Linked DNA regions of Anolis sagrei. The protein of the gene in region 1 purifies or fractionates together with the protein of each later gene. This does not show direct contact. Links are inferred from orthologs where the notes say so. Each region holds a gene or a part of one and is shown in the gene's direction. Other genes may lie near its edges.

Region 1 (16,429 bases):
TTTATCTTTTTTGGCATTGGTTGAATGTTATTCCTGGATCCCTCAGCAATCTGGAATGGGGAAAAATATATTCAAAGGGACAGCAATGAATAATATCTGTGTAGGCACCTTTATCGAGACTATTTTATCGAGACAGTCTCGATAAAATAGTAAAGAGTAGAGACATCAGACTAGCAACAAAAATCCGCCTAGTCAAAGCCATGGTATTCCCTGTTGTAACCTACGGATGTGAGAGCTGGACCTCAGGGAAGGCTGAGCGAAGGAAGATCGATGCTTTTGAGCTGTGGTGTTGGAGGAAAGTTCTGAGAGTGCCTTGGACTGCGAGAAGATCCAACCAGTCCATCCTCCAGGAAATAAAGCCCGGCTGCTCACTGGAGGGAAGGATACTAGAGACAAAGTTGAAGTACTTTGGACACATCATGAGGAGACAGCAAAGCCTAGAGAAGACAATTATGCTGGGGAAAGTGGAAGGCAAAAGGAAGAGGGGCTGACCAAGGGCAAGATGGATGGATGGCATCCTTGAAGTGACTGGACTGACCTTGAGGGAGCTGGGGGTGGTAACGGCCGACAGGGAGCTCTGGCGTGGGCTGGTCCATGAGGTCACGAAGAGTCGGAGATGACTGAACGAATGAACAACAACAACAAAGGCACCTTTAAGTCCCCTATTGAATTATAGCTTAACAACCCCAAGAATTTCACAATGTTTTCTTAAACAAAACAAAACAAAACAAAAAAAACTACTCAGAGGTGCTTAACAGGTAAAATATTACCTTGTCCTTTTAGGGTATTTAGACTCTTGTACCAATTATGTTAAAATCATTTATTCCTCATTGCAAAGATGGAAGAAAAGAAAACACAGAATAAAAACCACTAAAGAGTCCAGGTAAAATATGTGGCTCCCTCCCATCTACTCTTTCACTAACCCTTTGAGAGCAGACTGAGGTGAGAGACAATGATTCTAAAGCTAGTTGATACTGACAAATTCTGTGACTGATTGAATATTCAGCTTTGGTGCAACCACAAAAACAGTTTGCAAAGGTTCTGCCATTGTAGTAAACCAGCTAACAGAATCAGAAAGCTGCCAGTTCAAATGTCACATCTGTTGTGGAGCTATGTAGGTTGCCAATCACTAAAAATATCTGTACTAAGGGAACAGGAACATCTGAGCATTCAAAAATACTATACAAATGCTGGATGTTATTATTGTTGTCTTAATTATATGTGATAGCAAGGAAACAGCAACACAGTGTCCTGAAACAGCTGCAGGAATAAGCATACATAGCTGACACATTTGATAGGGACATAGGAAACCACTTTACAACAGAACCACAAGTCCATTAGCTCAGAATTATCATCTGATGGGCTATGACCTGGAGAAACCCAGCATGCAAAATATGTGCTCTGATACTGATCTATGGCTCCTCCCATAGTTTGTCTGTAACCAACAGATCTTCCATTTTCAGTCTTTGTCTTCCTAAGCACTGCTATATTTAATTAATAAATTGGTATGAGCAAAGTGACTATAACCTTACATCTCCATCACTTCCCCGAGTTTGCTGAATGATTAATCTGCCTCATTCCAATTGTCACCTTCATTTTTCTGAATGCTCTTAATTCTTTCCTCTCTTTTTCAAGCCTTCTTTTTCCTTCTTCCACTTTTCTTCAAGATGCCCATTCTCCCCTTACATTATATGTCCCCTTCTACACTGCCATATAATGCAGATATAATCAAAGCAGATAATCTGGATTTTATATGGCAGTGTAGAAGGGACCTAAATTCTCCTCTTTCCATCACCACCCAATCCCTTCTTGCTCTTTCCTCCATGGCTTTTTTTTTCTACCAGTTTTTAGCATTCATACAATTCAGTATCTTTATCTGTCTGTTAATAACTTAAAACATTTGCCATATACATTAGCTATGGATTTAAATTCTTTGTCCTAACACAAATCTCATGAAACTGAAGATAATAATTTTATACTGTGAACAGAGAACTAAAAGGGCAAGAGAGCAATTTTCTGAAGGAACAGTTTATACAAGAGGAAAGATTTCTACTAGATTTCTACTAGTTGAAACATTCACACCTAGCTCCAGCAGACAAGAGTCCTTTGTTTCACCCTGGTCATTCCACAGATATATAAACCCTTTTTCCTAGTTCCAACAGACCTCACTACCTCTGAGTATGCTTGCCATAGATGCAGGCGAAACGTCAGGAGAGAATGCCTCTGGACCATGGCCATATAGCCCGAAAAAACCTACAACAACCCAATTTCTACTACACATTCTCTAAATGTGCTGAAATCTAACTTCCAGCTGGTTGAGGGTGACGGGAATTGCACTACATATCATATGAGAGTTGCTGGGTGGGGAAGGGTCTTGGAGCACAGTTGGCACTAAATAAACACCAGCTATTTCTAGCAGTCTTTTTTTCTGTTTCCTTATTCAGTCCTATTTCCATCAGACCCTATCTATCTACACTGCCATAGATTAATTTTAATTGCATTGAATCTGATTATATGAGTTTAGTGCAGACATGGGCCAACTTGGGCCCTCCAGGTGTTTTGGACTGCAACACCCACAAAACACCCGGAGGGCCCAAACTGGCCCATGCCTGGTCTAGTGCCACTTAATGCAATTCAATGCAGACTCTCCTACTTCCTCAGATTTCTTCTTTCCCTTTTCTCATTTCCAATTATTTGCCTGCCTTGAAATTCTTCCCCACTTATGGCAACTCTCTCACGGGATCTTCTTGGTAAGATTTGTTCGGAAGAGGTTTGCCATTGCCTTTCTGAGGATGAGAGAATGTGACTTGCCCAAGGTGATTAGTTGTATGGCAGCAATTTGCAGAGCCATAATCCAAACACACTACCTTTCAATTCTTTTCAAATTAATTATTTTATTCCTTTCTGACCCAAACCTTTTATTGAGGGTGTTTTATTGATCTTTTTTTTTTAACTTGTTGAAATGATTTTAAAATGATTAATGTAGGGATTAAGTATTTCTATATGTTTTTCTCATTTATTACATGAAATAAATGATTTGATTCCTACATAACCTTATTTCATTTACAGGCATCCTTTGGCCAAGGTGGCTCCTAAAGGTTGGCAATTAACAACATTTAAAGCACATAAAGTCCTTCATAGAGCATTTAAAAAAAACAATTTTTAAAAAAGATAAACAAAAAATTCCCAATAAAAAACTCTCTTCTAAAGTTCCAAATTTTCCATATTGCAGACAAGAGAACTAAAATTTAGAAAATTTTCAAAGACTGTGGTGCTACCTTTCTAGCATCGCTATTTAACAAAATCATAACAGAAAAATCACCCCCAAGCAGGGGCGGCTCAACCCAATGCAAAGTAAGCATTTGCAGTATAGTTGATTTTGCCCAGGGGCGCTCTTGAGGCGCTCTTGGGGGAAAATAGACCTTGACATATGGGAATTGTAGTTATTGGGATGTCTAGTTCACCTACAATCAAAGAGCATTCTGAACTCCACCGATAATGGAATTGAACCAAATATGGCACACAGAACTCCCACGACGAACAGAAAATATATATCAGTGATTGGTTGGGGCGGGGGAGGGGGGGGCAAAATACTTTTTGCTTACCGTTGAAAATTACCTAGTGCCGCCTCTGCCCCCAAGGACTGGACTACTAATATAACCAAACCAATTTGGAAGGGCAAAGGAGACATATGTAATTGCTCAACATACCGCCCAATACGCCTATTGTGTCATGCAATGAAAGTATTTGAAAAAATACTGGACAAAAAGCTAGTAAGTCACACAGCAGTTAACCAAATCAGTGTGGCTCTGTCTAGGGGTGTGGCACAATGGATGCAATATATGCTGTCCAGTTACTCATGGAAAAACATCAGGAAAGGAAACCAAGGAACTTTGTATTCCTTCATCTCAAAAAAGGCATTTGATTGGGTTCTTAATGACCTGATCTGGTGAGCACTACAGTCAAATGGAATACCTGAAGACTATGTAATATGGATAAAACTACTATACAATAATACAACAAGTATGGTCCACAGCCTTGCAGGGATTTCACCACCCTTCAACGTCACTGTTAGTATGCATCAGGGATCAGCACTCTTGCCATTACTATTCATACTCTGCATGGACACGGCTAAAGACTAGGAATACAAACGATCAGCAACAAAATGCAGGAAGCAAGGCTACGATGGTACGGCCATGTCATAAGAAGAGAATCATCAGCAGCACAAGCAGCACTGCATTTGGAGATTGCAGAACGCAGACGTGGACAAAGGCCAAAGAAAAGATGGATGGACACCATCAATGAAGACATGCATGCCGCCAACCTGAGACTTCAGGATGCCCAAAACAAAGCCCTGTGGAAACAGCAGTAACAATGCTAACAGCACCATGGGAAAATTGCTTAGAAAGAAGATGAATTGATAGGATACTGCATTTGGAGATTGCAGGACAGCGACCACATGGACAAAGGCCAAAAGAAAGATGGATGGACACCAAACTGAGAAGGCCCAAAACAAAGGATGGATGGGTGGCTGGATAGACAGATGGATACTACAGCACTGCATTTGGAGACTGCAGGACAGCAATCTCCAAAGGCCAGAGGATGCTAAAAACAAAGTCCCGTGGAAACAAATAACAGTCACAATGCTAACCCCTCCATGGGAAAATAGCTTAGAAAGAAGATAGATGGATGGATAAATACATACTACAGCATCATAATAAATTGTGGCAAGTTCTTAGTGGTATGGGCATACCAAATCACCTTGTGTCTCCCCTGAGGACTCTGTATAACGACCAAGTAGCAACAGTAAGAACTGACCATGGAACAACAAACTGGTTCATGATTGGGAAAGGCGTACAGGAGGGTTGTATACTCTCACCCAACCTATTCAACTTGTATGCAGAACACATCATGCAATGTGTTGGGCTTGATGAATGCAAGGCTGTGGTAAAAATTTCTGGAAGAAACATTAACAACCTTAGATATGAAGATGATACCACTTTGATGGCCAAAAGCGAGGAGGAGCTGAGGAGCCTTCTAATCAAGGTGAAAGAAGAAAGTGCAAAAGCCGGGTTGCAGTTAAACATTAAAAAACCAAGATTATGGCAACAAGAATTATTGATAACTGGCAAAAAGAGGGACAAAACGTGGAGGCAGTGACAGACTTTGTATTTCTAGGTGCAAAGCTTACTGCAGATGCAGACTGCAGCCAGGAAATCAAAAGACGTTTACTTCTTGGGAGGAGAGCAATGACAAATCTCAATAAAATAGTGAAGAGACATCACGCTGGCAACGAAGATCCGCATAGTCAAAGCAATGGTATTCCCCACAGTCACCTGCGGATATGAGAGCTGGACCTTAGGGAAGGCTGAGCGAAGGAAGATAGATGCTTTTGAATTGTGGTGTTGGATGAAAGTTCTGAGAGTGCCTTGGACCGCGAGAAGATCCAACCAGTCCATACTTCAGGAAATAAAGCCCGACTGCTCATTGGAGGAATGGATATTAGAGGCAAAGATGAAGTACTTTGGCCACATAATGAGAAGACAGGAAAGCTTAGAGAAGACAATTATGCTGGGGGAAATGGAAGTAAAAAGGAAGAGGGGCCGACCAAGGGCAAAATGGATGGATGGCATCCTTGAAGTGACTGGCTTGACCTTGAAGGAGCTGGGGTGGTGACGGCCGACAGGGAGCTCTGGCATGGGCTAATCCATGAGGTCATGAAGAGTTGGAAGCAACTGAACGAATGAACAACAACAACACAGCACTGCATTTGGAAATTGCAAGATGGCAACCATGTGGCCAAAGGAAAGATGGACACCATCAATGAAGATGTGCATGCTGCCAAGCTGAGACCTGAAGAAGCCCAAAACAAAGCCCTGTGGAAACAAATGCGTCACAATGCTAACCTCTCCATGGGAAAATAACTTAGAAAGAAGATGGATAGATACAATAGGTGGCTGGGTAAATAAATAGGTGTACTACAGCACTGCATTTGGAGATTGCAGGACCGTGGCTATGTGGACAAAGGCCAAAGAGAAGATGGATGAATACTATCAACGAAGACATGTGTGCTGCCAGCCTGAGAATGCCCAAAACATTGTCCCGTGGAAACAACAGCCACAATACTAACCCCTCCATTGGGAAAATAGGTCAGAAAGAGGAAGATTGAAAAGCTACTCTTCTCTCATTGCTTGTTCTCTCATAGAATCATAGAATCCTAGAGTTGGAAGAGACCTCATGGGCCATCCAGTCCAACCCCGTCAAGAAGCAGGAATATTGCATTCAAAGCATCCCTGACAGATGGACATCCAGCCTCTGTTTAAAAGCTTCTGAAGAAGGAGCTTCCACCACATTCCAGGGAAGAGAGTTCCACTGCTGAACAGCTCTCACAATGGCTTCAAACTACAAGAGAGGAGATGCCATCTGAACACGAGGAAGAACTTCCTGACTGTGAGAGCCGTTCACCACTGGAATTCTCTGCCCCGGAGTGTGGTGGAGGCTCCTTCTTTGGAAGCTTTTAAACAGAGGCTGGATGGCCATCTGTCAGGGGTGATTTGAATGCAATATTCCTGCTTCTTGGCAGAATGGGGTTGGACTGGATGGCCCATGAGGTCTCTTCCAACTCTTTGATTTTATGATTCTATGATTCAGGAAGTTCTCCCTCATGTTCAGATGGAATCTCCTTTCTTGTAGTTTGAAGCCATTGTTTCTTGTCCTAGTCTCTAGGGAAGCAGAAAACAAGCTTGCTCCCTCCTCCCTGTGGCTTCCTCTCACATATTTATACATGGCTATCATATCTCCTCTCAGCCTGGGACATGTGGTGCAGGGCAGGAATATGTTGCCTGCAACAAATCCAGAAATAATGTCTTCCTGGTCAAGTTTACGCTGGATGACAATTTTTTCAACATTTTCATTTGGCAGAATGGGGTTGGACTGGATGACCTTTGGTATTTCAAAGAATCATAGAATCAAAGAGTTGGAAGAGACCTCATGGCCCATCCAGTCCAACCCCATTCTGTCAAGAAGCAGGAATATTGCATTCAAATCACCCCTGACAGATGACCATTCAGCCTCTGTTTAAAAGCTTCCAAAGGAGCCTCCACCACACTCCGGGGCAGAGAGTTCCACTGCTGAACAGCTCTCACAGTCTATTTATTTATTTATTTATTTACTTTGCTTATATACTGCTGTTCTCAGCCCAAGGGCGACTCACAGCGGTGTACAACATAGAAAAAACAAAATCCAAAATTCAAGACACAATCTAAAATATCCATCTAGCAATAACCAAAAACATCATCATCAAAAACGTCAAGAAGTTCTTCCCCATGTTCAGATGGAACCTCCTTTCTTGTAGTTTGAAGCCATTGCTCCATTGTGTCCTAGTCTCCAGGGAAGCAGAAAACACGCTTGCTCCCTCCTCCCTGGGGCTTCCTCTCACATATTTATACATGGCTATCATATCTCCTCTCAGCCTTCTCTTCTTCAGGCTAAACATGCACAGCTCCTTAAGCCGCTCCTCATAGGGCTTGTTCTAGAGACCCTTGATCGTTTTAGTCGCCTTCCTCTGGACACATTCCAGATTGTCAATATCTCTCTTGAATTGTGGTGCCCAGAATTGGACACAATATTCCAGACGTGGTCTAACCAAGGAGGAATAGAGGGGTAGCATGACTTCCCTAGATCTAGACACTATGCTCGTATTGATGCAGGCCAAAATCCCATTGGCCTTTTTTGCCGCCACATCACATTGTTGGCTCATGTTTATACATGGCTATCATCTCCTCTCAGCCTTCTCTTCTTCAGGCTAAACATGCACAGCTCCTTAAGCCGCTCCTCATAGGGCTTGTTCTAGAGACCCTTGATCATTTTAGTCGCCCTCCTCTGGACACATTCCAGCTTGTCAATATCTCTCTTGAATTGTGGTGTCCAGAATTGGACACAATATTCCAGGTGTGGTCTAACCAAAGCGGAATAGAGCATGGGGAGCATGACTTCCCTAGATCTAGACACTAGGCTCCTATTGATGCAGGCCAAAATCCCATTGGCTTTTTTTGCTGCCACATCACATTCCTGGCTCATGTTTATACATGGCTATCATATCTCCTCTCAGCCTTCTCTTCTTCAGGCTAAACATGCCCAGCTCCTTAAGCCGCTCCTCATAAGGCTTGTTCTCCAGACCCTTGATCATTTTTCCTCCTCACTTTTCCCCCTCATTTTATAAATTCTGGAAACCCAAATCCCTTCTAGCTTCCCCATCTTGTTTTTAGAAGCCCCTTTCTTGATTTTTTTCCCTTTTTAACCGCCTCCATTCTTTCTAATCGCTTATTTTTCCTCCCACCCCTTCCACCTCCCTTCAGGCAACAACAGGCGCCATTTTCCCTCGCTCCCTCCCAAAACACCCCCTCCCTGTTCTGATTCTCCTTACGCCCCGCCCACTCCCCGTCCGGACCAATCGCCTTCCTCCGCCGAGGCAGGGGCGGGCGAGGAAACCCCATTCACGAGACTGGGGAGAGAACGGAGTCAGTCAACAGACCAACTGCTGCAATATCCCTCCGCGTATGGCAAGCATAAAGTAGTCCCTCAAGCCTGGCTCCTTCCCCTGATTTGGATAAGGCTCTGTGACGTTTCTGTCACGGGGAGGGGTCTCTTTCCAAGCCGAGGGGTGGGTGGGACACGCCTCTGGGGCGCTCCGTGCCTCCCCCGCCCTCCCTCTCCGAATGGTAAATTTCCATACTCCTCCGCGGCGAAAGGCGAAGGAGGGAGGGGGGAGCGGGAAGTAGTTCCGGCCAACGGAACGGGTATAAAAGGCGGCTGGCGCGGAGGCTCTGCCTTTTCAGTTGAGGACAGCGGCGGGAAGCAGAACATGTCAGGCGGCTCCGCGGACTATAGCAGGTATCGCAGGAGGCGGGAAAGGGGAGGAAGGAAGCGTTGAAGGCCATTGTTTATATTCATATATACTTTATAATACATATATTTATAATATATATATATATTAAAGAGGAGCTGTTTGAAAAACAGGGCTCCGACCCCCCCTCCTTTCCCAGGCCAAATGGTTTCTTCCAGGCGGGCAGTGCGAGTGTGTGTCTCGGGAGGCCCAAATTGGAAGATACCACTTTTTAAGTAGGGGGGAACGGCAGGGAAGCCGAACCTGTGTCTTTGAAGGTTTGCAACGTCCCCGATTCCCCTCCTTTTCCAAGGCGCATGGTTTCGCCCTTGTGTGTATGCATATATGGGGAGGCCCTAATCGGAAGAGACCACTTTGGCGCAGGGAGAGGAAACAGGGAGGGGCTCCGAGACTTGCGCAACCAAGGGAGGGAGGGGGTGGAGCTCTCGCGAGAATTCGGTGGAAAAGGGAGGGGGGAGGAAAAGAAGGCCGAGAACGCACGAGCCAGGCACGCTGACGCAGCGCGCATGCGTCCTTTCAGTCCTCTTGATTTCCTCTCCCCCACCTCTTCCATTTTATTTATTTATTTGCCACACGTTTCTTATTTATTTACAGTATTTGTATACTGCTTTTCTCACCCCGAGGGGGGACTCAAAGCGGTTTACACATAAGTTATTTATTTATTTTATTTACTTTGCTTGTATACCGCAATTTCTCAGCCTTGTAGGCGACTCAACACGGTTTATGACAAGAGCAATAGTCAATCCAACAGCATACAAAATTTAAAAACCATTAACAGCATGATATACAAAATGACACATCAATAACAACACGTTAACGTCTCGTAACTAGAATCGTGATCCAATTCGTCTTCCATAATTCCGTTTCCTATATTCATCGTGTACATTGCATTGTTTAACCGGACGCCTGTTCGAACAGCCAGGTTTTTAGTTTTCTTCGAAACACCATTAACGAAGGGGCTGATCTAATGTCCGTGGGCGTTCCACAGCTGAGGGGCCACCACAGAAAAGGCCCTGTCCCTCGTCCCCGCCAGCTGTGCCTGTGATGCAGGCGGGATCGAGAGCAGGGCCTCCCCAGAAGATCTTAGAGTCCTGGTGGGTTCATAAGCAGAGATACGTTCGGATAGGTAGCTTGGGCCAGAACCGTTTAGGGCTTTAAAGGCCAACACCAGCACTTTGAATTGAGCCCGGTAGCAAATCGGCAGCCAGTGGAGCTGGTGCAGCAAAAGGAGTTGTATCCTCCCTGCGCTCCGCTCCTGTTAGTATCATGGCTGCCGCACGTTGGACTAGTTGGAGCTTCCGAGCCGTCTTCAAAGGCAACCCCACGTAGAGAGCAAAAAATTCAATGCCAGTATAAACAGTTACCATCATCATCTTTAATTACTTATTAATCAGCCTGACATGACAGCATTGAGTGACATTACCTTCCCACCGAAGCAGTACCTATTGATCTATGCACATTTCCATATTTTTGAACTGCTAGGTTGGCAGAAGCTGAGTTAATAGCAGGAGCTCACCCTGCTTCCTGGATTCGAACCACTGACCTTTCAGTCAGCAAGTTCAGCAGCTCAGTGGTTTAACCCACTGTGCCAGTGGGGGCTCCTAGATCACAGGGTCATATGCAAAGAATCAAAAGTTGGGAAACTTAGTTTTGGGGGTTATAAAAATACCTCAGTGGGAAATATAGTCTTAAAAAGTAACTTCTCAAGGGGAGTGTTCTCTCTAAGGATGTGCTAGGTTCTTCAGGCGATTTTACAGTGTACCTCCCCTGAAAGCTACCATGGAGTTGTGTTGAAAAAACTATTACGTTTCTAAAGGATACTTTATTAGAAATTGCTAGGTCTTCTAATGCAAGTCTATGGTATACTGGGAATGAAAGTAAGGTAGTTACACCCTGGAGTGTGGTGGAGGCTCCTTCTTTGGAAGCTTTTAAACAGAGGCTGGATGGCCATCTGTCAGGGGTTGGCAGGGGGTTGGACTGGACGGCCCATGAGGTCTCTTCTAATTCTTTGATTCTATGATTCTAATGGATCCCCTGTGGCCATGGGATTTTTGCACATATGTAGCCCTTTACTACAATTATCCTTATTAGTGAGGCTGGTAGAGGCAGGCCTTCCTTATTGGTGGCAACTTCAGAATCACCCACATTGAATTGTATCAATGACGTGTGCAAATGGGCTGTCCTGTGGGCAGTCTCCTCCTCATCATAATCATATTTAATTACTTATTAATCGCCCTCCATCTGAGAATGCTCTAGGCGATTTACAGCTAAATTGTAAAAGATAAAATACATACATACAAAAATTAAAAATTGACAGATCATATAAAAGGCAATTTAAAACTAAAAATAATGACTTCCAGGTTTAAATCCATTTTTGCAGTGCTGCTAGAACAAGACCCCAGGGCTTTGTTCCTTCATCTCCCAGAAGCCTTACCTACCTTTGCAAAAGGTTCCTCCTGGGCTAAATGAAAATACAGGGGGTTGTTTTCTTTGGCAGGCAGATCATTGTGGAGTTCTTAATTTATAATCTGCCTTTTCCCTCTCATGGAACCTAAGGATATATACAACACATTTGTTCTAAATCGGGTGTGGGCCAACTTTGGCCTTCCCTTCAGGTGTTTTGGATTCCAATTCCCACAAAGGGGTGCTTCGAATGGAATATTCCTGCTTCTTGGCAGGGGGTTGGACTGGATGGCCCATGAGGTCTCTTCCAACTCTATGATTCGAATTGTGGGAGTTAAAGTCCAAAACACCTGGAGAGAAAGCCAGTAATAGTATGAAAGCTGGGTCCGGAAGCTCTGGGCGTTACACTGTTTTTGCTTTTCTCCTTCGGAAGTGCTGTTTGTACAACGCAGAACTGGACACATATTATAGAAGAAAGAGTTCTTTAATGGTAAAGCCCTAATCCTTAACTGTAACCCAAAATCTTATCTTACCCTACCCTACCCTACCCTAAACCTTACCCTAACCCTCCCCTCCTTTCTATCCTTCCACCAAATGCAACTATGAATTATGTTCCCGCCCTCAGTGTGCCACTCCCCCCTTCCCGTATTCACAACCGCCATTGCGGAATGTGCTTAATGCTCGGAGCCCCCCCCCCCCAGCTGTCATACTATCACCAGAAGGCCAAAGTTGGCCCCCACCTGTTCTAAATAGTGCTTGGTTGAATTCTACTATAGTCTTTAGGTTGATTTTAGTACTGTTTGCTGCTCCCAAGTCTTTTCTTAAGACAGAAAAGCAGCACTATAAATAAATAAGATCACAAGCTGCTCCCCGTAATGCAAGCATTTGCAAGACGTATGTTCTTCACAAAGTTGTCTGGGCTGATGAAAAGGGGAACCATTGTCTAGTGCAGGCATCCTCAAACTTTTAAAACTGAGGTCACAGTCCCTCAAACTGTTGGAGGGCCGGATTATAATTTGAAAAAGAAAACAACACATGAATTCCTATGTACACTGGACATATCTTATTTGTAGTGCAAAAAACACTTAGAAACTACAAAAATTAAAATTAAGAACAATTTTAACAAATATAAACTTATTAGTATTTCAGTGAGGAGTGTGGGCCTGCTCTTGGCTGATGAGATAGGATTGTTGTGTGCTTTCAAGTCATTTCAGACTTAGGTTGACCCTGAGCGAGGGCCGGGTCTATGACCTTCTAGGGCTGTATCTGGCCCCCTGGCCTTAGTTTGAGGACCCCTGGTCTAGTGCCCTTGAATGGATAGCAGCAGGGCTGTGAAATTCTATTAAATTCAGTGCCTCAGACATCTAATTCAAAGTCCAGACTGAAGCTACAGAATCATAGTGTGATAAGGGTTAGAAGAGATGATGTGGGCCTTCCATTCCAGTCTCTTGCCATGCAGAAATTCAAAATCCAAGCACTATTGGCTGATGTCCATCCAGGTGTTGTTTAAAACCTCCAGCGCAGGTGACAACACCTCATGCCAACAGCTCTTACCTTCAAGAAATTCTCTGTAATGCTTAAGTGGAATCTCTTTCCTTGCAATTTGAATCCATTGCTCTGTGGTTTAGGGCCCTTCCACACAACCATAGAACCCAGAATATTTGTGTTGAACTGAGGCCTCTTCCACACAGCTGTACAAAATACAACATTATCAGCTTTGTACTGGTTTATAGGACAGTGTGAACTCATAAACCAGTTCAAAGCATATATTGTGGATTATCTGCCTTAATATTCTGGGTTATATGGCTGTGTGGAAGGACCCAAAGCCACAGAGCAAAGGATTCAAATTACAAGAAAAGAGATTCCACTTAAGCATTGTGGAGAATTTCCTGAAGGTAACAGCTGTGTGCTGGAGTCCCCTGCTCTGGAGGTTTTAAACGCTGAGACCACAACACCGCCATATATCCCAGTTCAGAGCAGAAAATGTGGGATTTTATTCAGCTGTGTGGAAGGGGCCCTAGTCTCCGCTGTGAGGAAAACAAGCCTGCCCTTCTCAATGTGTCATCTTTTCAAATATATAAACAATGGCTGTCATGTCCGCTCTCGGCTGCCTGTTTTCCAGAAGCCCTGGCCCAGTCATGAATTCTGGGAGATGAAGTCCAAAACAAAACATTTGAGTGCAAAGGAAAGACTGACCATTTTCTGCAGGAGAGCCAGTGTTGTTTTGGGATGTGAGAAATCAGGTTCCAGTCTTTACTGTGGTGACCTTGGGTCATCACTTCCCTCCTTGGCCTAACCTTCTCCTGAGGCTGCTAGACACTTCCATTATTATGACCTCTGTATGAAGGCAGGATGTTTCTTCATTAAGACAGTACATGTTGAACAAGTGTTGTCGGGCAAGGGCCTGATTTTGCCAGTTTGTCCACGTGTGACTATTGTGCATGTACCTTTGAGTCTCCTGTTGACCTTAGACCTTTGGCATGATCTATATTCTTTTCTTTTGGTTACCCACATAAGAAGTTATTCTTAATGGAAGCTACAGTTGAGGTAGGCTGCAGTATGAAACAATTATTAGCAGCCCTTGCTGTATGTAGTTGTGCACATCACATAAGAGTAGTAGATTCACATGAGTGAGTGAAGATATACAATTGTATTGATTAGATCAAGGGTCCTCAAACTACGGCCCGGGGGCCGGATACGGCCCTCGCTCAGGGTCAGCCTAAGTCTGATATGACTTGAAAGCACACCACCACAACAACAACAATCCTATCTCAGCCAAAAGCAGGCCCACAATCTCTGTTTAAAAGTCTCCAAAGAAGAAGCTTCCACCATACTGTAAGGCAGAGAGTTCCACTTTTGAATAGCTCTTCTTGTTATTTATGTCAAGATCACACTGCATTAAAGTTCTAGTTTGTGCTAAAGTATTCCTACTGCTAAAAACATTTAACAGCATCATATAAGTTGATGGTTTGGTAGGGTTTTATCAAATGCAATAGGATACATTGTTACTTAGTATATGAAAGATATAATATTGAGTTACCCATATCATTCATGGAATGCTAAGTGATAGCTTTCCAAAGACCACATTGTAATCATTGTGCTTGAAGTTGCAGCAAATTTCCATTAGGTTGTATGAAAATTTCAGGAGCCTTTATTAGACCAACTAGAAGGCAGTTGATTCTTTGTGTGGCCGTTAAGAGACCGAGTTTCATCTGGAAAAGATGTTTTTTTAAATTGCAGGATAATTTTAAGAGTCAAGTCTCCATGTTGTCAAACGTGCCTAGTAACCCTGAGCTCACTGGGAATAGTGAAGGCAATAGAAGAGCAATCAGATTGGGATTTGCTATTTTTTAGAAATATAGAAGTACATTATTTCTGGATTTTTAAATGTATTTAATTGTATAGGGCAGTAGTTTGGAGTGTTTAGTTTGGTATTGCAATTAGAATAAGTCACTATTGCAAGAGGTTGAGAACTCTGCCTGGCTGACAAGATTTTATTTCTTTTGACAGAGACCATGGCCCTGAGGGAATGGACCCCGATGGCGTCATTGAGGTTAGTAAATGACCCTTCTTTCATTTATCTGTATGGAAGATGTTGATGAGTGAAATAAAATGTATTTCATTTCCTCCTTGCAGAGCAATTGGAATGAAATCGTTGACAATTTTGATGATATGAATTTAAAAGAGTCCCTTCTCAGGGGAATTTATGCTTATGGTTTTGAGAAGCCGTCAGCTATCCAGCAGCGTGCTATTATTCCATGTATCAAAGGTAGGCAAATATTGCAGCAAATAATGAGTATTAGCACCATTCTTACTGGTTTGAGTTCTTTGCATTGGGGTGGAAGTAAAGCCCATCTTTCCTTGAAAAGTGAGATGATGGTATACCATCTTTCGGGACTGACCTGAAATGGAGAAAACTGTGTAACTGCTGATCACTTGTAAAGGAATTGGAACTTAAACTGTGTCCTAATGTTGTATGGGAGCAGTAAATATCTATCCTTTTTTTAGGGTATGATGTGATTGCTCAAGCTCAGTCAGGTACTGGCAAGACAGCCACATTTGCTATTTCCATCCTGCAACAGTTGGAGATTGATCTCAAGGAGACCCAAGCACTAGTGTTGGCTCCTACCAGAGAACTGGCACAACAGGTATTGATAGTGTAGTTAAACAGCTGCTTACATGTTGCATGGGTTTCAGGTTTCACAACCGTAGGAGAACTCACATTTTTGGCAGATCAGTTAATGGCTTAGCTCTGGGGTGCAAATATGGTGAACACACCTCTGCCACACTACATTCCTCTATTACATACATGGAGAAGTGTTAGCTGTGGTGATGAACGGGCCAGTGATTCTGGCTTCAAAAGACAGTGCAGCTTTGCAGGACTTGATAGTAGGAATATCCAGAATATATAATGAGACTAAAACGATTTAAATTGAGAAAACATATACTGTTCAGGTCTTCAAAATGCATGCAGTTGTGCAACATGAAACTGCATGTGATCAGTTGACTTGTCTGTGCTGTTTGTGTATATAATCTTATGTGTGCTTCAGTCTCTTCTGTATTGAGCAGCATTTTTGCATTCAGCACATTTTCATTAAAATATGCATTTTTGTGAATACAGCGTTGAATATTGTGATAGAAGCAGAAGTCACCTTAACAGTCCTCGGGGGAGTTCATATTTGGAATTCTCAATTGGTACTAAAATGTAATACATTTTCTTAGGAGGCAAGTAATTAAATGAGGATGACCCAAGTTGATTTTTAGAATGAAGTTTGTATAGTTCTTTCCTCATAAAGTAGCACACTGAAAATAAGCTTTCAGCATAGAAATGTGTCCAAATGATCCATGTGTTTCAAACTCAGCATTGCAGTACCTCCTCTGAGGAAATAAACATATCTCGCTGGTCATTTCCAGTTCTTATTCTACACTGCAGGCTGTTTTGTTATGCAACAAGGATAGGGCCAGTATAGGTATGATTTTTTTTTTACTTTTAAAGGCATATTCTGCCCAAGCAACTTCTAAAAACATTTCACCGCTTTGCATGTTTAATAGTCAATAGCCATTATTTTTTCTTTTGTAGCAGTCGGAGCATTGCTACTGCTTTGCTGGGAATGCTTTTGT
Region 2 (16,348 bases), on another chromosome or scaffold:
CATCCAATCATCTATCTCAAGCCTGGGCAAACTTTGACCCTCCAGGTGTTTTGGACTTCAACTCCCACAATTCCTAACAGCCTACCGGCTGTTGTCAATATATTGTATTCTATTTATTCTATCTAGCCATTCATCCATCTCTGTGTAACATATATCCATTCATCTATCTATCTATCTATCTATCTATCTATCTATCCATCCATCCATCCATCTATTTATCTATCTATCTATCTATCTATCTATCTATCTCCTATATATATACATCCATATATATATATGTGTCTATTGGTACATCATCTACCTATCCATCTATGGCTATCTATCTATCCATTCTTCCACCCATTCATCTCTCCATCTGTATCATTCCTTCCATCTGTCTATGGCTATTATCCATCTATTCTATTTATTTTATCTATCCATCTGTTCTTTCCATCCACGGCTATCTATCATCTATTCATCCATCCATTTACCAATCTATATCTATATATCTGTTTGTCCATCCGTCCACTCGTCCACCATCTATCTATCTATCTATCTATCTATCTATCTATCTATCTATCTATCTATCCCCTCATTCCATCCATCTATCTAGACGAGAGCTAGCATGGCATAGTGATTTGAGCATTATACTCTCAAGCAACCAGAGAGTGCATTTATCCGGCACCTCTTAAGCCCTTGTGTAAAGGAGGCACCCAATTAGTAACGATGCCACCAATTGGTAAAAGTTTGTAAAGGAGCCACTACTTTGTAAGGACTTACTAAATTGATAACATAACTAATAGCTTGTAACGTTGATTTGGTCTTTCTTGAATGTGTAGCGTGGCTTAACTTGAAAGTATTTGTAACAGAGACTTGGCTTTAGAAGAAACTGTAACAAGTTTATTGTAGTATAGAAGAAGCTTGATGGTTTCAATGTTTCTTAGCTCTTAGAGGCACATTTCTTCAGAGGTTACATTTAATACATTTCATAAAACAACTCTTAAGAGAACTATTCCTTTCACTAAACAGGTTTTAAACTTATTCTCCTTCAAAATGTGTTTCTTTCTTTAATTGATTACTTCAGGTACAAGCCTTTCCTTTCCCCATGCCATTTCTGTTGCAGTACAGATTCCCACCAGGCTTCTCTCCCCCTTTTGCTCACACACTGACCAACAATATAAACAAGTCAACTCGACCCATCCAAACCACACAGGCTAAAAGCCAAAATTTTCCTGATTCTCAACACAGCAGAATCAGCCTTTCCCTGCAGATCTCAGACTACAGACTACCCCACTGGCTCTCAACATACAACAGAACCAGCGCTCCCTGTAGTTCGCTGACTACAGACTGCCCGTTTTAAAATGGCTGCCCTGCCAAGTGGCAGTTGGCTCCGCCCCTTTTTCCATGGCAACCCAGCTCAAAGTGAGTTGAGCTGGCTACCATCCCTCTCCCCCCCCCCCCCCAGTTATGCTAGTTTAGATACTTACCCTTTTAAACAACTATCTATAATCAAACATAACTGTAGATTAAAACTCACACTCCACCACACCATGGGTTCACTCGGAGTGGGCTGCTTACCAGTGAGTAGGTTGCTGCCTCCTTCCTCACTCTCTGGTGTGACATACTCTCCCCTTCCTAAGCGCTCGAGGCAGGGGACGACATAGTCAAAACATACCAACATGAACAGGAAAATACATATATCACAACACACCATTATTTAAAAAAGCATACACCAAACATAGAGTATGATGTCAATGATGATGATGATGAAAGGGACCCCAAGGGCCCCCTAGTCCAACCCCATTCTGCCAGGCAGGAAGACACAATCCAATCCCTCCCGACAGATAGTCAAGCTGTGCTTAATAATGATGATGATGATGATGGGGGCTGCCTCCTTCCATTCTTTCTCTCCTTCTCTCTCAGGTCTGGTGCTCAGTCCGCACGCCGGAGAGTGCGCACGAGGGCCTGGTGACCGACTCGCACAGTCCTTCCCGCTTCCGCGTGGTGGGGACGCTCTCCAACTCAAGGGAGTTTTCGGAGCATTTCCACTGCCGCCCGGGGTCCCCCATGAACCCCGCCAGGAAGTGTGAAGTCTGGTGAAGGAGCTCCCCTTCCGGGAGGAAAGAAGGGCCACACCGGGCCGTTTCGGGCCTTCCTCTCTCTGTCGCTCGCTCTCTCTCTCTCTCGGGAAGCCTTTGCCCACAGGGAAGACTCCAAACTCGAGACTTATTGGTGGCCTTGCCTATATCCTCTCGGCGGTCCGGCGTATCCCATCATGCTGGAGGACGCTTGGATCGCCATCCGTTCCCAAAAGGCTGGTATTTTTATGCAGGGAATATAGACTCTTCTTGCCTTGAATGGGAAATCCACCAAGAAGAGAGGAGGAGGAAACCCCTTTACGCTCACACCCTTCACCGAGGCCTGCGTCATAGACACAAACACCAACGTATAGAAATAGTATTATTATTATTATTATTTTGAATCTTGCAGAACACTGGAAATTTCAGGGAACGTGTATAAAGTTGAATGGATCGGTATTTATTTCTACTTTTCGAGCGCGAGAGCATCCTGCTTGAAGCCAAAGGACGGCTGCCTGGAGCGGAAGACCCAACTCCCTTCCATCCTAAAAGCGTGGGAATCCGTTACTTTGTGGACTACGACTCCCAGGGAATTGGGATTTGGGGGAGCCGCTCTGCAGGGATATCGCTTCCAAAAGGGACCTTCGTTCTTTTTCTCCATGTCCTTCGGAATTCCCAAGTGCCTCCGGCGTCTTCTCCGGCCGACGCTTCTCCTGTCCACTTCCGCACGGTCCGGGAAAGAGGCGGAAGGCAAGCGGTTATGAGGCGGAGAAAGAAGGGTCGCCTGGGCCCCAAACCCACTCACCAGCGGTCTCTCAGTTGCTGTTGATTGTAAGAAAAACGCCCTGTGTGATCTGCACAGAGAAACGACTTCAAACCTATCTGTAACTGAGTTATGTCCCTATATGCTGAGTACATGAAGGTTGTTGAGTAAACCCTTCTGAAGAACTTCAAAAACAAAAACAAAAAAACACCAGCGGACTCTCAGGTTCAAAAAACTGATCGTTTCCATCCGAGGCTCCCACTCTTCCCACTCTTCCTCCCGCAGAATCGTGGCAATTCTTCATTTCGTCCTCCTCTTCCGGCCCCTTCTGTGACCCCAAACTGGGGCTGGACTTCCATTTGTGTCAATGTCTGGAGTGAAAGACCTTTTCTCCCCGTTTTTGAGCTTCGTTTTTCGACCTGGAGTTGGAAGCAGGAGGGCAAGGCAGTAATGTGTGTGTTTGTGTATACACATATACACATACACATCACACTGATAAATAGAAATCACTTATAAGTGTTGCCAAGGCAGTTCAAGGGGAATCATAATGCCATAACTATGCAGGCTGAAATGCCCCTCATGGACAAGTATGTGTGTGTATATTATATGTGTGTGTAAATATACATATACATAGTACATATAATCTCACTTAGAAATCACTTATAATGCAGTTCAAGTGGAGTCATAATGCCATACATTTGCAGTCTGAAATGGCCCTAAGTGCACACATGTATGTTTATATGTGTGTGTGTGTGTGTGTGTGTGTGTGTGTGTATATATATATAATCTTACTTATAAATAGAAATCACTTATAAGGCAGTTCGGGTGGAGTCATGTCATAAATGTGCAGTTTAAAATGGCCCTAAATGCATGTGTGTGTGTATACACACACACACTCATAAATAGAAATTACTTGTAAGGCAGTTCAGGTGGAGTCATGTCATAAATGTGCAGTTTGAAATGGCCCTCTAAATGCACGAGTGTGTGTGTGTGTGTATATATATACACACACAATATATGTGTGTGTGTATATATATATATACACACACACACACTCATAAATAGAAATTACTTGTAAGGCAGTTCAGGTGGAGTCATGTCATAAATGTGCAGTTTGAAATGGCCTCCTAAATGCATGTGTGTGTGTGTGTGTGTGTATATATACACACACACACGATCTATACACACACACACACACACAAACACTCATAAATAGAAATGTGCAGTTTGAAGTGGCCCTAAATGCACGTGTGCACGTGTGTGTATACACACACACACTTACTTACATACACACACTCATAAATAGAAATCACTTATAAAATACTTCAAGTGGGGTCATAATGCTATAAATATGCAGTCTGAAATGATCCTGTGTGTGTGTGTGTGTGTGTATATATATATATATATATATATAATACATTAATATGTGATACCTTCACTTCACTTAGGCAATCCCTTGTTGTCCAAGTAGGATAGTCCTCCAGGGTGGGTCAGTAGATGACTTGACCTTCATCTTCTCCCGCAGTGAGGGCATCGGTTTCCAGGTGGGAGGCAGTCCCGGACGGGGTTGGCTTGACGCGCCTTCCTCTTGGTACGTTTCTCTCTTTCGCCCTCCATTTGTGCCTCTTCAAATTCTGCAGCACTGCTGGTCACAGCTGACCTCCAACTGGAGCGCTCACAAGCCAGGGTTTCCCAGTTCTCAGTGTCTATGTCAGTTTTTAAGGTTGGCTTTGAGCCCATCTTTCAATCTCTTTTCCTGTCCTCCAACATGTTGTTTTCTGTTCTTGAGTTCGGAGTAGAGCAACTGCTTTGTGATACCTATTTGTAAGTGATTGATATATGTGTATGTGCACTTAGTGTTGACTCCAGGCTTGGGAACCCTATGACCACAGCACCACTCAAGAGTCCATAATATAAGGACTGGAGGTAAAAACAAAAAGGGAAATGTTGTGATCTCCATAGGAGAAGGAGGCGATTGGCTGGATTGGATTTCGTAGGATTTGGAGGCCTCTTTGGCCACGCGGCACCTCAATGTCTTTCCCGTACGTTTCATCCAAGAGTGCCTTGCCAAAGTGGGCTGGAAAGATGCATCCAAACACCCCAATAAGGGATGGAAATGACAAGAGAAGAGTGACGGGTTGCCGGTTTGACTTCCCTTCCTGTGCCTTAATGCCAGAATGGCCCATCACAGCCTTAATTCTCCACTTCCCCAATGTGAAATCAAGAAAAGGAGCTCATAACTCTGCGGAAACTATGAATCCCATCAGGGTTTGGATTGTTGGGGAAATCCCATCAGGGATTTGTAGTATTCCATGTTCAAATTATGTAATATATCCATGCAAGGAGGAAAAGGAAGGGAAAGAAAAGCTTTATTTTTATCTCTCTTTGTTCTTTATCTCTGTTTTGGATGACTGTAATTCCTGGCAAATGCAATAAAACAAAGCTTTTATACGACCATGTTTGTATTTCTTTGTTTACGCTCACATTTCCGCTTCCCAAAACAGACCAATGGAGCTGCCTTGCCGTTGAATGGATCCAGATCCCGGGTTTCATCCCAAATTTCTCCCTCTCTAGTTGACACATGGGACTTGGAGTACTCTTTCTCATTGTAGAATCACATTGTAGAATCCTCAGTGGGTTGAGAGCCAAAATCAAGGTCCCTACAACATCTGTTATAGAACTCTAGTATGCTGATGATAATGCAGTCTGTGCTCATTCAGACCTACAACGAAAGTTAGAGAACTCCAGTAGGCTGATGATAAGGTAGACTGCTCATTCAGAAGAGGATCTACAATGTCTTATAAAATTCCAGTATGCTGATGATAATGCAGTCTGTGCTCATTCAGAAGATCTACAATGTGTTATAGAACTCCAGTGTGTTGATCATAACGTAGTCTGTGCTCATTTAGAAGACGACCTACAATGTCTTATAGAAATTCAGTATGCTGATGATAATGCAGTCTGCTCATTCAGAAGTTCTTCAATGCCTGATATAGAACTGCAGTATGCTGATGATAATGTAGACTGTGCTCATTCAGAAGAGGACCTACAATGTCATATAAAACTCCAGTATGCTGATGATAATGCAGTCTGTGCTCATTCAGAAGGTCTTCAATGTCTGTTATAGAACTCCAATATGCTAATGATAACGTAGTCTGTGCTCATTCAGAAGATCTACAAGCCACTTTCAAAACCTTTGCAGAAGCATATGCAGGCCTCTTGGTGGCCTGTAGGCCTCGGTTTTAGCGTGCAGGCCTCCCCTACAAGTGGGCCCTGCTGTGTTGCCATGGCAACGAGAACCACTGCAAAACAGGCTTCCCAGCGTGTGGTAGGCCTCAGTCTTTCCAAAGCTGAGAATATGGTATCTATCTATCTATCTATCTATCTATCTATCTATCTATCTATCTATCTATCTATCTATCTATCTATCTATCTATCTATCTATCTATCTATCTGAGTGTATCCCCACCGGTGTTTTGGACTTCAACTCCCACAATTCCTCGCGTCCCTTCCTTTTCCCCCTCAGTCGCTTAAGCAAGAAGGCCTAGAGTGCGCCTGCGCGAAAGCTGAAAAGAGGCGGGGTGAAGGAAGACGGGCGGTCCAAAGTGCGCCTGCGCAAAAGCTGGAAAGAGGCGGAGTTGGAAGGGATGCGGGAGTTCTATAGTGCGCCTGCGCGAAAGCTGGAAGGAGGCAGGGTGAAAGGAAGGCGGGAGTCCCAGAGTGCGCCTGCGCGAAAGCTGGAAAGAGGCGGACTTGGAAGGAAGGCGGGGGTTCTACAGTGCGCCTGCGCGAAAGCTGAAAGGAGGCGGGGTGAAAGGCAGGCAGGAGTCCCAGAGTGCGCCTGCGCGAAACCTGGAAAGAGGCGGAGTTAGAAGGAATGCGGGAGTTCTACAGAGCGCTTGCGCGAAAGCTGGATGGAGGCGGGGTTGAGGGAATGTGAGGGTCCTAGAGTGCGCCTGCGCAAAAGCTGGAAAGAGGCGGAGTTGGAAGGAAGGCGGGGGTTCTACATTGCGCCTGCGCGGAAGCTGGAAGGAGGCGGGGTTGAAGGAAAGCTGGAAAGAGGCGGGGTGAAGGAAGCCGGCAAGGCGAGGATGCGCCTGCGCGAAAGCTGAAAGGAGGCGGAGCTAGTGAGCGAGCGAGGTCGGCCTTTTCCGGAGATTGCCGAAGAGCCGAGCGGCGTCGCTTGCCCTCGTCGTCATCTTCGTCCTGCCGGACTGCTGCTGGAGGCGGCCGCCGGCGCCATGTTGGAGGCCGCGCTCGGTCCGTGAGGAGAATCCGTCGGCATCGCCCGCCCGAGCGCCGCCACCGTCGGCGGGGCCTTCTCTCCGGGCTGCAGGCCGCTCTCTCTCGCCGGGACCGGCGGCCCTCCCTCATGAATAGCGGGCGAGGCGGCGGCCCGAGCGGCGGCTTCGGCGCGGCCTGAGGAGAAGGAAGGGAGGGAGGCGGGAGGGAGGGGGCGGGGAGGGAGGGAGGGAGGGAGGGGGAGGAGCGCAGGGCGCGTTGCCACGGAGACCGGCCGGGGGTGGTGGCCCGCTGGGCTGTCCCCGCCGCCGCCGGCCTGGGCCTGGCTCCGCCTCGCCATGAGCCTCCCGCACAAGACGGCCCTCAAGCCCGGAGCGGGACCGGGGGCGGCGGGGGCGGCGGGAGGAGGGGCACCGGGAGCAGGGGCGGGGGGCGGCGCCGGGGGAGCGCTCCCGCCGCCTCCGCCACCTCCCCCGCCGCCCCTCTCCCCGCTCCCGGCCGCCCCCCCGCCGCCCCCCTCCGCCGCCGCCGCGCCCCCGCCCCCCATCCGCGCCCTGCAGGGGGGACCGTATCCTTCCCGCCTCTGGATCCAGGGGACAGGGAGGGGGGTCCGGCTGGAGGGCCACTGGGGGCCCTGCCAACTCTGGGGTTCCATTATTGTTGTTGTCATTATTATTATCAAGCAGGGCTGGATGGCCACCTGTCAGGAGGGCTTGCCTGGTGTCTTCCTGCCTGGCAGGAGTAGGATTGAACTGGGTGGCCATTGAGGTCCCTGCCAACTCTGGGGTTCCATTATTATTATTGTTGTTATTATTATCAAGCAGGACTGTATGGCCACCTGTCAGGAGGGCTTGCCTGGTGTCTTCCTGCCTCAACTGGGTGGCCTTTGGGGTCCCTTCCAACTCTGGAGTTCCATTATTGTTGTTATTACCAAGCAGAGCTGGGTGGCCACCTGTCAGGAGGGCTTGCCTGGTGTCTTCCTGCCTGGCAGGAGTAGGATTGAACTGGGTGGCCATTGGGGTCCCTGCCAACTCTGGGGTTCCATTATTATTGTTGTTATTATTATCAAGCAGGGCTGGATGGCCACCTGTCAGGAGGGCTTGCCTGGTGTCTTCCTGCCTGAACTGGGTGGCCATTGGGGTCCCTTCCAACTCTAGGGTTCCATTATTATATTGTTGTTATTATTATTATTGTTATGAAGCAGAACTGGGGGGCCACCTTTCAGGAGGGCTTGCATGGTGTCTCCCTTTCTGGCAAAACTGGGATTGAATTGGGTGGCCATTAGAGTCCCTTCCAATTCTAGGGTTCTATAATTGTTATTGTTATTAGTATTATCAAGCAGAGCTGGGTGGCCACCTGTCAGGAGGGCTTGCCTGGTGTCTTCCTGCCTGAACTGGGTGGCCATTGGCGTCCCTGCCAACTCTAGGGTTCCATTATTGTTGTTATTATCAAGTAGAGCTGGGTGGCCACCTGTCAGGAGGGCTTGCCTGGTGTCTTCCTGCCTGGGAGGATTGGGATTGAACTGGGTGGCCATTGGGGTCCCTTCCAACTCTGGGATTCCATTATTATTATTATTATTATTATTATTATTATTTTCAAGCAGAGCTGGGGGGGGGGGGGTCACATGTCGGCAGGGCTTGCCTGGTGTCTTCCTGTCTGGCAAGACTGGGATTGAACTGGGCAGCCATTGGGGTCCCTTCCGACTTCTATAATAGTTATTGTTATTATCATGCAGGGCTGTATGGCTTCCCTGGTGTCTTCCTGCCTGGCAAGATTGGGATTAAACTGAATGGTCGTTGGAGTCCCTTCCAACTTCTATAATTGTTATTGTTATTATCATGCAGGGCTGTATGGCCACCTGTCAGGAGGGCTTGCCTGGTGTCTTTCTGCCTGGCAGGATTGGGATTGAACTTCCAACTCTAGGGTTCCATTATTATCATTAGTAGTAGTATTATTATAGTTATTATTATTGTTATTATGGCTACCTGTCAGGAAGGCTTGCCTGGTGTCTTCCTGTCTGGCAAGATTGGGTTTGAACTTGATGGCCATTGGGGTCCCTTCCAACTCTAGGTTCCAGCTTTTTTATTATTATTATTATTATTATTATTATTGTTATTTTCAAGCAGAGCTGGGGGGTCACGTGTCGGGAGGGCTTGCATGGTGTCTTCTTGTCTGGCAAGTTGGGATTGAACTGGATAGCCATTGGGGTCCCTTCCAACTTCTATAATAGTTATTGTTATTATCATGCAAGGCTGTATGGCCACCTGTCAGGAGGGCTTGCCTGGTGTCTTCCTGTCTGGCAGGATTGGGATTGAACTTCCAACTCTAGGGTTCCATTATTATTATTAGTATTATTAGTATTATCAAGCAGAGCTGTGTGGCCACCTGTTGGGAGGGCTTGCCTGGTGTCTTCCTGCCTGGCAGGATTGGGATTGAACTGGGTGGCCATTGGGGTCCCTTCCAACTTCTATAATTGTTATTGTTATTATCATACAGGGCTGTATGGCCACCTGTCAGGAGGGATTCCCTGGTATCTTCCTGCCTGGCAGGATTTGGATTGAACTGGGTGGCCACTGGGGTCCCTTTCAACTCTGGGGTTCCATTATTATTATTATTATTATTATTATTATTATTATTATTATTATTATCAGGCAGAGCTGGGTGGCCACCTGTCGGGAGGCCTTGCATGGAGTCTTCCTGTCTGGCAAGATTGGGATTGAACTGGATGGCCAATTGGGGTCCCTTCCAACTCTAGGCTTCTATAATTGTTATTGTTATTGGTATTATCAAGCAGAGCTGGGGGGCCACGTGTTAGGAGGGCTTGCCTGGTTTCTTCCTGCCTGGCAAGATCGGGATTGAACTGGGTGGCCATTGGGGTCTTTTCCAACTTATATAATAGTTATTTTTATTGTTATTATCATGCAGGGCTGTATGGCTTCCCTGGTGTCTTCCTGCCTGGCAAGATTGGGATTGAACTGGGTGGCCATTGGGGTCCCTTCCAACTTCTATAATAGTTATTTTTATTGTTATTATGTCAGGAGGGCTTGCCTGGTGTCTTCTTGCCTGGCAGGAGTGAGGGGGTTGGACTGAGTCCCAACTCTAGGGTGATATTATTATTATTATTATTATTATTATTATTATTATTATTATCCAGTGCTAGGGTTCTGTTGTTATCAAGCAGAGCTGGATGGCCACCTGTCAGGAGGGCTTGGATGTGTGTTCCTCCCTGGCAGAAATGGTGGAGTTCGACTGGATGGCCATTGCAGTCCCCTCCAGCTCAGGGGTTCCATTATTATTATTGTTATTGTTATCAAGCAGAGCTGGGTGGCCACCTGTTGGGAGGGCTTGCATGCTGTCGTCTTGCCTGGCAGGAGTGAGTGGGGTTGGATTGAGCCCCTTCCAACTCTAGGGTGCTATTATTATTATTATTATTATTATTATTATTAATACTATCAAGCAGGCCTGGATGGACACCTGTTGAGAGGGCTTAGATGGTGTCTTCCTGCCTGGTAGAATTAGGGTTGGTCTTTATGGCCATTGGGGTCCCTTCCAGTGCTAGGGTTCTGTTGTTGTTATCAAGCAGAGCTGGATGGCCACCTGTTGGGAGGGCTTGAATGTGTGTTCCTCCCTGGCAGAATTAGGTTTGGACTGGAAGGCCATTGGAGTCCCTTCCAACTCTGGGGATCTATTATTATTATTATTATTATCATCATCATCATCATCATCATCAAGAAGAGCTGGATGACCACCTGTCGGGAAGGCCTGGATGGTGTCTTCCTCCCTGGCAGAATTAGGGTTGGACTGAATGACCATTGAGGTCCCTTCCAACTCTAGACTTCTATTATTATTATTATCATTATCATCATCATCATCATCATTAAGTAGAGCTGGATGGACACCTTTGATATGTATTCCTGCCTCACGGAATTGGGGTTGGACTGGATGATCCTGGAGTCCCTTCCAACCCTTCCATCATCAAACAGAGCTGGATGTCCACCCATCAGGAGGGCTTTGATGTGTCTTCCTGCCTGGCTGGATTGGGCGCGAACTGGATGGTTGTTGGGATCCCGTCCAACTCTATTATTGTTGTTATTGCTTGAGGTGGGTTCAGAGTCGCAAGGGTGTCTCTGTTTACTGTTTGGGTTTAATTTCCCTATGTCCTGCCTTTGACTGCCTCCTCCCTGTTTTCCGAATGAAGTTTTGCAGACTTATAGTTTCTCTTTCACTTTGTTTATGGATTTCTGTGGCCACCTCCTGCTGTGCTTGTGTTTGTTGCCTGCCTGTGTTGGATGTGGGATGTTCAATGACGTTCTGGTTTGTTTGGGTTGGCAACCATCTTTATTATTTGGGTCACGTTGTGTTGGAAATGTTGTATTTCCTTGCGATGAACTCCATTGACCCCCTTGAATCTACAAAACTAAGTTATCATTGGCATATTAGAGTTCTGTAACAGACGTAGGTCTTCTTCTGAATGAGCACAGACTACGTTATCATTGGCATACTGGAGTTTTATAGCAGGTCTTTTTCTGAATGAGCACAGACTACATTATCATCAGCATATTGAAGTTCTATAACAGGTCTTCTGAATCAGCACAGACTATGTTATCATTTGCATATTGGAATTCTGTAATAGGTCTTCTGAATGAGCACTGACTATATTAGCATCAGCATATTGGACTTCTATGATAGGTCTTCTGAATGAGCACAGACTATGTTAGCATTGGCATATTGGAGTTCTATATCAGGTCTTTTTCTGAATGAGCACAGAGTATGTTTTCATCGGCATGTTGGAGTTCTATATCAGGTCTTTTTCTGAATGAGCACAGACTACATTTTCATCAGCGTATTGGAGTTCTATAACAAGTCTTCTGAATGAGCACAGGCCATGTTATCATCAGCATATTGGAGTTCTATATGACGGCTTTTTCTGAATGAGCACAGACTACGTTATCATCGGCATATTGGAGTTCTATAGCAGGTCTTCTTCTGAATGAGCACAGACTACATTTTCATCGGCATATTGGGGGCACCTTGGGGAAAGCCATTCTTCCCGGTCCCAGGAGAGAATAATCTCCTTCCTTCTTAAGGGAAGTCCTTGCTTTGGCCTGCTTTTCCTTCCTCCAAGCAGTTCCTTTTTCTGGCTTTGGCCCTTCTTTTGGCATTGGGGGTGAGGGCTAGGGCTTGCCCCCTTTCTTTGTGGGCGGGGTGCTTTTCCCACCCTTCTTTTCAGCAGACTTTGAAGCCGCCCTTGACATGCTTTCTTTTGCTTTTCTGAAGAAGCGGACAGGAAATGGCCAAATAAAGGGCCTGCGCACAGTTTGCAGAACAAGAAAAAGGGACTCTTTGGAAGGGACTCTTTCCTGGGAAGGAAGTTGGCTTTCTGAATGCCGTGCGCAGCACAGGCCAGGCAGGGCTGGCAGGGCATTAATGGGTGCCATTTATCAATGGAGAATAGTCCTGCGTCTCCCGCCTGCAGGTCCATTGGCCCTACGTCTCTCTCTTCCCAGGGCTCAGCCCTGCATTTTATTTTATTTATTTATTTATCGTGTCAGGGGCAACCAGACAATTGTATTACATTTTTAACAGAACAAAACAAACAGACAGACAAAACACAAAGTTTGCAAGCTTGGTAGTTGATTAAATGTCCTTTGACCAGTATCAGGCCAGTTGGAGTGCCTCTGGTGTTGCCACAAGGAGGTCCTCCATGGTGCATGTGGCAGGGTTCAGGTTGCATTGCAGCAGGTGGTCAGTGGTTTGCTCTTCTCCGCACTCGCATGTTGTGGATTCCATTTTGTAGCCCCATTTCTTGAGGTTGGCTCTGCATCTTGTGGTGTCAGAGCGCAGTCCGTTTAGCGCCTTCCAAGTTGCCCAGTTTTCTGTGTGCCCAGGGGGGAGTCTCTCATTTGGTATCAGCCATTGGTTGAGGTTCTGGGTTTGAGTCTGCCACTTTTGGACTCTCGCTTGCTGGGGTGTTCCAGCGAGTGTCTCTGTAGATCTTAGAAAACTATGTCTTGATTTAAGTCGTTGACGTGCTGGCAGATACCCAAACAAGGGATGAACTGGAGATGTCACTGCCTTGGTCCTTTCACTATTGGCTGCTACTTCCTGGCGGATGTCAGGTCGTGCAATACCAGCTAAACAGTGTAATTTCTCCAGTGGTGTAGGGCGCAGACACTCCGTGATAATGCGGCATGTCTCATTAAGAGCCACATCCACTGTTTTAGCATGGTGAGATGTGTTCCACACTCAGCAGCAGAGTAGCATAGCGCAAGGACAGATGTCTTCACTGTGTCTGGTTGTGATCCTCAGGTTGTGCCAGTCAGCTTTTTTATGATATTATTTCTAGCGCTCACTTTTTACTTGATATTCAGGCAGTGCTTCTTGTAGGTCAGAGCACGGTCCAGAGTGACTCCCAGGTATTTGGGTGCGCTGCAATGCTCCAGTGGGATTCCTTCCCAGGTAATCCTCAGAGCTCGGGATGCTTGTCTGTTCTTGAGGTGAAAGGCACATGTCTGTGTTTTAGGTGGATTAGGGATCAGCTGGTTTCCCCTGTAATAGGCAGTAAGAGCACCTAGAGCTTCAGAGAGCTTCTGTTCAACCATTTCAAAGCTCCCTGCTTGAGCGGTGATGGCACGATCGTCAGCATAGATGAAACACTCTGTCCCTTCTGGCAGTGGCTGGTCATTTGTGTAAATGTTGAACATGGATGGAGCAAGCACGCTCCCCTGAGGTAGGCTGTTTTTCTGTTTCCGCATCTGCTTCTCTGGCCCTGGAACCCAACAAAAAAGCTCCTGTTTTGTAGCAGGTTTCCTATGAGGCGGGTGAGGTGGTAATCCTTTGTGGTATTATACATTTTTCTCAGGAGGAGGCGGTGGTTTACAGTATCATAAGCTGCTGGCAGGTCTATGAAGACAGCTTCTGTGAAGACCGCCCTGCATTGAGTTGAATATTCCAGGTATTTGTTTACTTATTGTGTCAGAAGCGAGTTGAAGGTAAAGTTAACATGTCTTTAAAAACACAAAGGTTGAAAACTTGGCATGATGCTAAATGTCCTTTGACCAGAGGCTGGCCACTTGGCGTGCCTCTGGTGTGGCTGTGAGAAGGTCCTCCCTGGTGCATGTGGCAGGGCTCAGGCTGCATTGTCGTGAGTGGTCTGTGGTTTGCTCTTCTCCGCACTCGCATGTCGTGGACTCTGCTTTGTGGCCCCATTTCTTAAGGTTGGCTCTGCATCTCGTGGTGCCAGAGCGCAGCCTGTTCAGTGCCTTCCTAGTTGTCCAGTCCTCTCTGTGCACAGGAGGGAGTTTCTCATCCAGTCTCAGCCACTGATTGAGGTTCCAGGTTTTAGCCTGCCGCTTTTGGGCTCTTGTTTGCTGAGGTGTTCCTGCGAGTATCTCTGTAGATCAACGTTTCTCAACCCGAGGGTCGGAACTCTTGGGGGGGTCGCGAGGGGGCGTCAGGGGGGGGGTCACCAAAGACCATCTCTCATTTCTCTCTGAAAAATCCTATCCTAGTTATATTTTACCTTGTTCACGTCAGCATATTTTCAATTTTAATCTATTACATTTGGCCCGGCCATTTTTAAAATTGTGTATATCACTATTGATTGTTTTTTGTTTATGTGATTTATATGATTTATATGATTTGTATTTTATTGATTGTTTATTGATGTTGTGTTTATTGGTGTTTTGTTTGATGTACTTTGGGCTTGGCCTCATGTAAGCTGCACCGAGTCCCTTGGGGAGATGGTAGCGGGGTACAAATAAAGTTTATTATTATTATTATTATTATAGTATTTTCTGTTAGTATGGGGGTTCTATAGGTGAAGTTTGGCCCAATTCTATCATTGATGGAGTTCAGAATACTCTTTGATTGTAGGTGAACTATAAATCCCAGTAACTACAACTCCCAAACTCAAGGTCCATGCCCACCAAACCCTTCCAATATTTTATGTTGGTCATGGAAGTTCTGTGTGCCAAGTTTGGTTCAATTCTATCGTTGGTGGGGTTCAGAATGCTCTTTGATTGTAGGTGAACTATAAATCCCAGCAACTACAACTCCCAAATGACAAAAATTAACCCCCCCCCCCCCTCCCATCCCACCAGTATTCAAATTTGGGTGTATCAGGTATTTGTGCCCAGTTTCGTCCAGTGAATGAAAATACATCCTGCATATCAGATATTTACATTACGATTTGTAACAGTAGTAAAATTACAGTTATGAAGTAGCAACGAAAGTAATTTTATGGTTGGGGGTCACAACAGGAGGAACTGAATTAAGGGGTCACAGCATTCGGAAGGTTGAGAACCTCTGCTGTAGATCTTAGAAAACAATTTCTTGATTTAAGGCATTGGCTTCCTGGCTGGTATCTGAACAAGGTATGGACCAGAGATGTCACCTCCTTGGGCCTTTCATTATTGGCTGCTACTTCCTGGTAGATGTCAGGTGGTGCAATACTGACTAAACAGTGTAATTTCTCCAGTGGTGTTGGGTGTAGACACCCTGTGATAATGCGACATGTCTAATTAGGAGGCACATCCACTGTTTTAGCATGGTGAGATATGTTCCAAACTGGGCATGCATATTCAGTATCAGAGTAGCCAAGTGCAAGGGCTGATGCCTTCACTGTGTCTGGTTGTGATCCCCAGGTTGTGCCTGTCAGCTTTTGTATGGTATTATTTCTAGCACCCACTTTTTGCTTGATATTCAGTAGTGGTTTTTGTAGGTCAGAGCACTGTCCAGAGTGATTCCCAGGTATGTTGGTGTGCTGCAATGCTCCAGTGGGATTCTTTCCCAAGTGATCCTCAGAACTTGAGATGCTTGTCTGTTCTTAAGGTGAAAGGCACATCTGCATTTTAGATGGATGAGAAATCAGCTGGTTTTCCCTGTAATATTTATTTATTTTACGACATTTATATGTCACTCTTCTCACCCCGAAGGGGACTCAGAGTGGCTTACAAGGTATATATACATACAATTTATTATATTATTAGCATAGTACAATATAAGTTAAAATATTATTATATTGTACTATACCATTATATTGTAATATTATTAGTAATATATCAGTATTATATTGCATTACATTATAATATAATATAAGAAATATTATATTATAATATATTATATTATTAGCATACCACAGGAGACAAGGTGGAACTGTCCCCTGGCCCCCTCTCTCTTCACTCTGGCCCAGAGCGGCAGCTGGTGCTGGGGGGGGGGGAGGTGTCCCAAACTGATGACATATGCAGGAGACAAGATAGAACTGTCCCTTGGCCTCCCCTCTCAA

What was found.
Region 2: the proteins of EIF4A2 (region 1) and EIF4G3 purify together in Homo sapiens (affinity purification with mass spectrometry; 3 studies listed by BioGRID and IntAct, with this or other methods). This does not show direct contact. The link is inferred for Anolis sagrei from reciprocal best matches to the Homo sapiens genes EIF4A2 and EIF4G3.

The regions. Positions count from the first base shown.
Region 1 is NC_090023.1:259,965,763-259,982,191, reverse strand, and holds the start of EIF4A2 (eukaryotic initiation factor 4A-II), read left to right. Parts: upstream 1-8,789; 5' UTR 8,790-8,863; coding exon 8,864-8,892; intron 8,893-14,818; coding exon 14,819-14,861; intron 14,862-14,944; coding exon 14,945-15,077; intron 15,078-15,174; exon of another isoform or gene 15,175-15,246; intron 15,247-15,316; coding exon 15,317-15,456; intron 15,457-16,429. UniProt on the Homo sapiens protein: ATP-dependent RNA helicase which is a subunit of the eIF4F complex involved in cap recognition and is required for mRNA binding to ribosome.
Region 2 is NC_090033.1:7,271,910-7,288,257, forward strand, and holds the start of EIF4G3 (eukaryotic translation initiation factor 4 gamma 3), read left to right. Parts: upstream 1-7,311; 5' UTR 7,312-7,400; coding exon 7,401-7,630; intron 7,631-16,348. Other genes in the region: ECE1 (endothelin-converting enzyme 1), read left to right, coding at 1,903-2,079. UniProt on the Homo sapiens protein: Component of the protein complex eIF4F, which is involved in the recognition of the mRNA cap, ATP-dependent unwinding of 5'-terminal secondary structure and recruitment of mRNA to the ribosome. Functional homolog of EIF4G1.